2 linked regions of the Schizosaccharomyces pombe genome follow. The gene in region 1 interacts genetically with each later gene. Each region holds a gene or a part of one and is shown in the gene's direction. Other genes may lie near its edges.

Region 1 (4,160 bases):
CAAATTTTTCAGCAAATGCGGAGAAGTCTTGGCGCAAACTCTCATTTTATTAGATTAAGGTCGAATTACATATCAGCGAAACCTTTAGATACTGACAGATATGATACGTCTTCTATACAGTCATTAAAAAATGCACCTAGAGATTCGATGGAAAGCGAAAGCTTTTGTTCATCTAGTGATGATGCCAAACCGATAACATTTGTGACTAAAAATTTAAGAAAATTTCCAATTCCAGAATGGAGATCATCATTAGAAGTTCAGGCCGAATCCGAACAATCGTGTTTGCCTCTTTATCCTTTACTGCCTGTAGAAGAAGTGGAAGGGATGAAAAAGTTTGTTCAAACAATGTTGTATGATAGTATATATCCTTTTATGCAAAGATGCGTACGGGCCTGGGAAGAAGATCTGACCCCTCAATACGGTAATTTAACTACCAGGCTTCTATTTGCCTCCAAAAAATACTGGTCTCGTAATCATTCAAGCCATTCTCAAGGTAACTATGATCCACTATCCCTTATTTATTCTTCAGAAAAGCAGGAAAGCATAAAAAGAAAAATGGCGGATTTTTCTTTTATGCTTCGTGATTACAAACGTGCTTATGAAATTTATGATGAGATTCGGAATACATTTTCTCAAGACAAAGCCTGGAATTATTTAGCGTCTTGCGAGGAAATCCAAATAATATGTCTGTTAATGCAAAATCGGAATATCAGCTTGAAGTCGCAAATTTCGTATTTGAACAAATGGTTCGACGAAATGGTTTATATCTATGCTGTTCGTCTTCACTCTTTTTACTATACATTTAGAAGTGTGCTAGTTACAAGCTTGTTGCTCTCGTTGAAGCCTGCGTTTAGTATCGACTTTGCAGCATCCTGGCTTGCAAAGATATTGGAACCAGGCCCTATTTCCCTCAATCCGTTTGAAACTTCTTTCTTAAATACGACAATAGCTGGAATGTATAGTAATAAGGAACATGTTGGTGTTACTGATGGAAATCGCCGCAGAAAAGCTGCTTTTTGGTTTGCATATAGCGCTGGCTTTTGGCGGGACTGTGGCCATTGTAAAATGGCAGAGATTTGCTGGAATCTTGCTAATCGTGTGTATTCAAAATCAGGATGGGAATCGCTTTCTGAACATATGCTGGACTTAAAACCAACGCTTTCCGAAAACTTTCGGGTGAAAAATACTTTTCATTAGACAACTCATCCTGTCATCTGGGCAATCTTTGGTACAAGATCTGCTTATGTAGGTGCTAAACTTTCGATTTTGGTTATGAGCTTATTAATTCAAGCGCGATTAATGCGAAGTTGAAAAATTATATTACCGCTTACAGTATCATATTTATATTCAATTAGCTAGTTAATGACTTTAGAAATTAAAACTTCATTTTTTTTTTGTTCACGTTTTTTGAAATGTTGCTTTAGAATTTAGACTGATGTCAATAATTATTTTAAAATAAAAAGTATATATAAAAAATAACTGTGAAATTCAAAGAGTAGAGGTGTAAGCTATAATTTTGAAAGATTTGAAAAAGGAATAGGAGCTGGCATAAAGGAGCTTAGGATTTCCAATTTAAAATGTAGCATTAGCATTATAATTTATTATATCAAAATTATAATTTAGTATCATACTCAATATAACATATATTAGATATATGCGATTTTACATTAGTCAACTTCATACGAAATTGCTGATGTTATTATAACTTGTCTATCTTATCAGTTTTAGAATAAATTGTTCATTGTCTGAATTTTTGAAAACAAATCATCAGCACCTTATTAGAACTCCAAATTTAGCAATTTGTAACATTACAAAAGTACAAGTGACAAGTCACCTCATACCATTAATTCTGTTTGAAAACTGTATATAGTAAACCACGCAGGTAGCTTCAGGAATATACGACAGAATGGGAAAAAAGGAGAAAGTCAATGCTTTGGAATTTTCTGTTAATAAAGGAATTTTTACAAAAACTCGTTTAAAAAGCCTGTATTCTGACTTTACGAGTCTGTTTATAAAAAATCCTGAAGGATTTTTGGCAAACGTAAATACTTGGAGAGAAGCAATTGAAACATCCGCATGGTCTGGGAAGTTGAATTCTAGGATAATCTTAGTTTTCGATGAGACTTTTGAAAGTGCGTTTTCAAGTCCTGCTTTAGGTAGACCTTTGAGCCTTGGTGCTGTTGCGGTACGTGAATTAAGCATTTTTTTTGAAGCTAATAAGCATATAGGCTTACTGGATCCAGCAAGGGGTTTGGCTTCGTAAGCAAGACTTTTTGAACGATTGTAAAAAAGGAAATTTAGTAAGAGAAGACGGTTTTTCTATTTTTTCAATTCTACGGTGGAGTTTTCAGAAACTTGGGTTTCAAAATCAAGCCTCATCCATATTGTCAAATAGATCCCCGAGTGGGCAGTATGTAATTCGAAAAAATATTGAGAAACTTGCTTGCCTTGTACACAATGAAGCAATGCGACGGTGCAGCAGCTATACGAGTGCAATTTATACTTGGGACTTTTTTCAAGATACTTTTGGAAGCTTATACTGGGAAGAAGGAAAATTAAACAAGGATGAGATGGAATGCCTTCTTAATTGGATGTGCTATCAAAAACATGTTTTAATATTTGATTCTAAGGTAAGTTCAGATTATATGTTTTCTCAGCTATTTGTCGATACCGTTTTTTTAACGAGAATAGATAATCAAGTTTTTACCCAACAGCCAAATTGATGCTCAATTAGCTTCAATTGATAAGTCTATTGATGGGTCTGTTGCAGATCTGATACAGGCTAGGGCATCCATCGCCCAAAGATCAGAATTTTTAAACGAGGAATTGGAGCAACTTTCACAAGTGCTAAACCAAGCAGTTAAAAAGGGAGAGAAAACAATAGCAATAACTTATTTACGTCGAAAAAAGATTTTGTCTAAAGATTTGGAAAGGAAAGTTTCTTCGCGTCTGCAATTAGATACTATAATTTCTAATATTGATAATGCGGTTGACAACAAAATTTTGCTTATTGCAATGTCTTCTGGCTCTGAAGCTCTAGACGCAATTTTAGCTCAAATGGGTGGAACTGAAAAAGTGGAAGATGTCTTAGAAAACGTAAATGATACACTGGCTCGTTCGGAAGAGATTGATGCAACTATTCAAACTTACAATCCTCAAAACATTGATTTAGAGGATGAAGCCGTTGAAAAAGAATGGCAGGATTTGGTAGCTGAAGAACAGAAGGTTGAAGATATCGTGTCTACATTAGGCAATGTTTCTCTAAAAACACCATCTGATACTTTTACCCTTACTAATACTGACTCGGATAAAAAGACTTCGAAACCGGAGAAGATTCAAGCTGAGCTGGTTGAGCAATAATTTATATACGTCCTTTTTTAACGATCACTTAAATTCACGGGAAATGGTTTGGTTTACTAATAATTTATGCACATACTAAAGAATAAATGAATACTATAAAAACATTTTTCTTGGTAATAACTATAAAAAACAATAATGCTTATATACTCAATAGAACTTATATAGCTAAAGCGATAAGGTAAAGTACCTGTGTAATGAATTGATGTTAGTTACTAAAAATTTTGCTTTTTATACCTTTAAAAACTAGTAAATTGTTAATTTATTAAATTGATTTCTTGGCAACGACTTAGAAACTTACAGTATATCACATACTCTATAAGTTTATATTATTAGTGTATGACCATAGCTTAACATGAAATACTTTTTTCATAGAATTTAAGTTCTCTAATAACTAAGTGACATTACAATTCTGTTAATATTCTTTGTTTACAAATCAAACAAATAATAAAACATTAGACTTAATAATTATCTAATAGAAGTTTAAATTGGCAATATCTATGCAATATTACAAAGAGCTAGCTAGGCGATTGCATACTCTACAATCAAAAAATGAAAAAGAAGCTCTTGAAAAAGTACCGTTTTTAATTCACTATTTTCAAATTTTAACCAAATATAGCAAATAGACTTTTTGGACAAATTGGTGGTAGAGGTGGACTCGTTGGTTCATGAACAAGATTTGAGGCCATTATTAGAGTTCATTAGCCCTACTGAAAGTTGGTTTTTACTGGGTACGGCGACAATTTTTTATATTAAATTATTAACTCATCCAGACCCTGAATCGATTGATGTAGTGATTAAAG
Region 2 (4,110 bases), on another chromosome or scaffold:
AAAAAAGTAACAAACAAAAGGAAAGTCAGCAAAACACATAATAAACCAACATGTAAAAAAGTGTTAGTGCAATTGCTTATGCCCTCAAATTTGTAATTGAGTGTTTATAAAGTTCATTTCCTTATGTGAATATTCGTATTATCAGTTATGACTCGTTGCTCTGCTTGCGACTTAAGTTTGCTACCATGCGTTTTTCTTACAACAATTCAGAGATTATTTTCATGATGATTGCTACCGGGTTGCATGAATTAACAACTTAGTTCAATTGTTTTGCTTTTACGATCAGTTTACCCTCTCTCATATTGCGGCGATAATCTGATATTTCAGAGAATTTTAGTTTTTCAAATTGCGAAAAAAAAAATTTTTCAACCAACTTGTATTTCATTGCTAGTGGTTTATTTCATTGATTGGTGAATGTGGTTTAAAGGGAAACTGAACGTTAATAGATCATTAAAAAAATTTCTGTAAGACCCCCTTTTCTTTATTTTTCCAAGGATTTTTAAAGTATTTGGACGCTTGAATGACTTTCTATTATATTAGAATTTTAAGACTCCAAGAAAAGCTCGAAGAATCCTTTAAATACGCTTTACGAGTGGTTTTTACGATAACTTCTGATCTGGGCGAAGTTTCATATCCGCAAGATGCAACCGTAAGGGTTGAAGCATTGGATAGACAACAATCTCACAGTCGTATCACAATTTCTAAGCAATGTGTTTCATGGATAGGGAATGGTCACGCGGCTGAAACGACTTTGTATTTTCCTGCTAGTCACCAGCAAATTCAATTGACGCTGCATTTAGAAAATCAGAATTCAATCGTTGATTCTATACACATAAATGCCGATACTGTATTACCAGTTTGGAGTGAAGCTTTTTCACCGAAATCTACTTTACCTAATATGGTATGGCGGTATATCCAAGGCCCAGAAAAAAAGTCACCAAACGATGGTCTCTGGTTTCTCGAACAGATGGGTAACAGTATTGCTAAGCACTTGTGGGATGCCGGCGTAGTTTTCTCAAAAAAGATTCTTTCTGATGATTGGCATTATAGCTTTTCCAATAGAAAAGACATCAATGTTTTAGAACTAGGCTCCGGATGTGGAATTGTTGGTATAAGTATTGCTAGCAAATATCCACGTGCTCTTGTGTCAATGACCGATACAGAAGATGCGATTGAATTTATGGAAAAAAATGTTGAAAAGAATAAGTCTGCAATGAGCAACAACATAACTTCTGATATTTTAGTATGGGGACATGACATTCCTCGAAAATTTCGGCGTCATTGGGATTATATTGTTATGTCAGATGTCATGTACAATGAATCTAGCTTTTCTGATTTGGAGGCAAGTCTTCAGGAATTGATGGATAAGAACACAAAGTTATATATTGCGTACAAAAAAAGACATGACAATGAAAAAACTTTTATGAGCAATATATTGGGATGGTTGGATCTTGTTTACGAAGAACGTGGTCCAATCACTATTTACATTTTACAGAAAAAATAAATTTACTTTGCATCATTTTCATTTTTCTCTTAGGATGCGTTGCTGAATCTGTCAACTTGCGAATCTCGTAACTTTTTTGTAGCAGCATGTTTATATTGAGATGTCTTTTCGGGTTCTTATACACAACGGTCTATAAAATTTGTAGCATCGCATAAAACCAATTTTGCATCTAAACTATCAGCGAACTTGGGAACCCATGTAAACTCTGCAAAGTACATTTTCTGTAAAATTGAATTTCGGCTTCCAGCTTTTTTGAATGGTGTTATGACGACTGGCGCGAATTTAATGATTTAGCATATTCTTTGATAAAAAAACAACTCAACATTATATAAAGCAGTTTCCTTTATTTATTCTGCTTTATTTACCCTGTTCTCTGTATGCCTTGAAACTGGCTCGGCTTACGTCATATAGCAGCGCATACCAAGTGTAATACCCATCAAGCATCACGCACCATCCATTCACCCAAACACATAGAAAAATACAATGCAGCCAAGGTTTCTTCTACACGGAGCGCTTTTGGCATTAGGAATACAGCTTTGTCTGTCAATTGGTAAGTGTTGAGTTGCTTTTCTACAGAAACAGCGGCTGACCCGGCATTGTCTAGGCAAGATTACAGGCCACATATCGTCTATTGAAGCGACTGCAGCTGATATACATGATGCGCCTAGTACAACTACGAAGTATGTTCAGCGAACCGTTTACGCCGGTAGAGAAAAGGGGAAAATAGGAGGACCAGCCGATTCTTGGCCTCAACGAAAGCTTGATGACTTTCTCCAAAATCATGGGGTAAAGTCACTGGACGTTCCTCCTATCGAGACTCCTTCACAGTTTTGGAGGAAGCCATTACAGTATGTATCAAAGGTAACCGACAAATGTAAATCTTTCTATGAGAAGGAGAAGAATCATGCTTCTCATAACGCACAAAAATTGGACGTTTGGATTTTCAATTCATGGACCAACTCCGAGCTTTCTCGATGGCTTATTAAGAATAAGTACGAAGTTCCAGAGCCTGGAACCCGAGAGCAGTTGTTGGAAACAGTTTTCCAAGCATCAATGGGCGATGCCATTTCCACCAATGATGAGTTGGAATCCTGGTCAAATAATCTACTCCTTTCTATGTTGGATCAGAAAAACATTACAGTACCAATTGGTGCATCACATGACGACCTAATCGTCTTGGCTAGACGTTATTACGATATTGAGGAAAGAAAATCGCAAGACAAAGTGACAAATATTACAGATAGCCAGCCTGCACCATATATGAAAGAAATTATTCACTTATGGTCAGACGGTAGACTTATTGATTTTTTGCGAGAGCGAAACATTCCTATTTCTGTTCTTTCACCTCGGGAAACTCTTTTGAAAGAAGCATACGCTAACCGCTTCACACCGCGTGTAATGATTGCCTCCAACGTACTAGATGGATGGTCGTCTGAGGACTTATTAGATTGGATTTGGAAGTACAATAAACGTGGTTCCATATTTTCCCATGTTGCTTACAACTCGCGTCATGAACTTATTCATGCTGCTAAATTATTTTATATGGATGTTGCTTCTGAATGGAGCTCTTCTGACATGGCATCGCTAAACGATTCTTTATACTCACATCCTTCTGTCTCCAAACAGTCTACCTGGACCGAAGAAGAACTCAAAGAGGAATTGGAGTCATTTGGCGAACTTGTCCCCGTTCCATTTTCATCTACCAAAGCTTTTGAACGATTACTTCCCCACCTGTATTACTATTTACGAGGTCCTGCCTTTTTGAACAGAATACATTATTGGCAAACATTCCTGGGTAACTCGCTTAAAAGGGCTTTTGTACTTTCGCAGTAAATACCATTTGTGTCGGTAATGTACCATTGAAAATTGACCACTCGAAGTTGGAGCCATGCCTTGTTCATTAACTGTATATTTCTAGTTTATTTTTTTTTGTTGCCATTTATTATAACAGATACTTAACTCAGATTTGCTTTTTTCTCATTTAGTACTAGTTTATTAAAAATAATAAAATGGGTAGTTTTACGGAACAGTTATAATAATCTCTACAAAGTTACTTAGTATGTAAGTTTTTTTTGCAGAATATTAATGAGGTTGAAGATTTCTCATGAAACAAAATCGAATATGATGAGACAAAAAATGTTTTAATATAAACCCTGATCAAAGTTTTTCGTCTTCTGTTGTTACATTGGGGTCGATAAGTTCGCCGTTCTTTACCTCTTCATCACGTTTTGTAGCTTCAATTTCCGAACGCAATTGCTTATATTCTGGGCTATCATTCCCCACTATAGTTAGCCATTTTTATAAATGTTTGATTCAATTTACCTATTTTTATCCCAAAGTGGTTTTGTAGAATAAAACTGAAAGATTAGTATTTTTATTATTTTGAGGGATTGAATTCTCAGCGCTATATTCAAGCTTGGTTTTTTAATTTTTGAATTATACTTACAGCAGATGCAACACCTAATGTGCAAGCAAACAATAAACCCATGGGACCGCCACGACTCCTTCCGCTCATCATGGTGCACTGTAGTCGGAGAGTCCGAATCATAAACTGGGAAATAGAAAGCCATATTGGAAATTATATAATAGCGACTACAATCATCATA

Evidence for each region.
Region 2: mutations in cmp7 (region 1) and les1 impair growth when combined (synthetic growth defect), as found in Schizosaccharomyces pombe (one study listed by BioGRID).

What each region holds. Positions count from the first base shown.
Region 1 is NC_003423.3:3,896,190-3,900,349, forward strand, and holds cmp7 (ESCRT III complex subunit), read left to right. Parts: upstream 1-1,896; 5' UTR 1,897-1,906; coding exon 1,907-2,185; exon of another isoform or gene 2,186-2,228; coding exon 2,229-2,630; exon of another isoform or gene 2,631-2,691; coding exon 2,692-3,360; 3' UTR 3,361-3,501; downstream 3,502-4,160. Other genes in the region: trs8501 (TRAPP complex subunit Trs85), read left to right, coding at 1-1,197; protein Tti2, read left to right, coding at 3,858-3,932, 3,977-4,160.
Region 2 is NC_003424.3:1,036,060-1,040,169, reverse strand, and holds les1 (nuclear bridge Ish domain protein Les1), read left to right. Parts: upstream 1-1,960; 5' UTR 1,961-1,987; coding exon 1,988-2,054; intron 2,055-2,108; coding exon 2,109-3,337; 3' UTR 3,338-3,531; downstream 3,532-4,110. Other genes in the region: efm6 (methyltransferase), read left to right, coding at 521-1,504; SPOM_SPAC23C4.04C (uncharacterized protein), read right to left, coding at 3,662-3,773, 3,827-4,110. UniProt on the Schizosaccharomyces pombe protein: Inner nuclear envelope protein involved in nuclear fission, which is achieved via local disassembly of nuclear pores within the narrow bridge that links segregating daughter nuclei.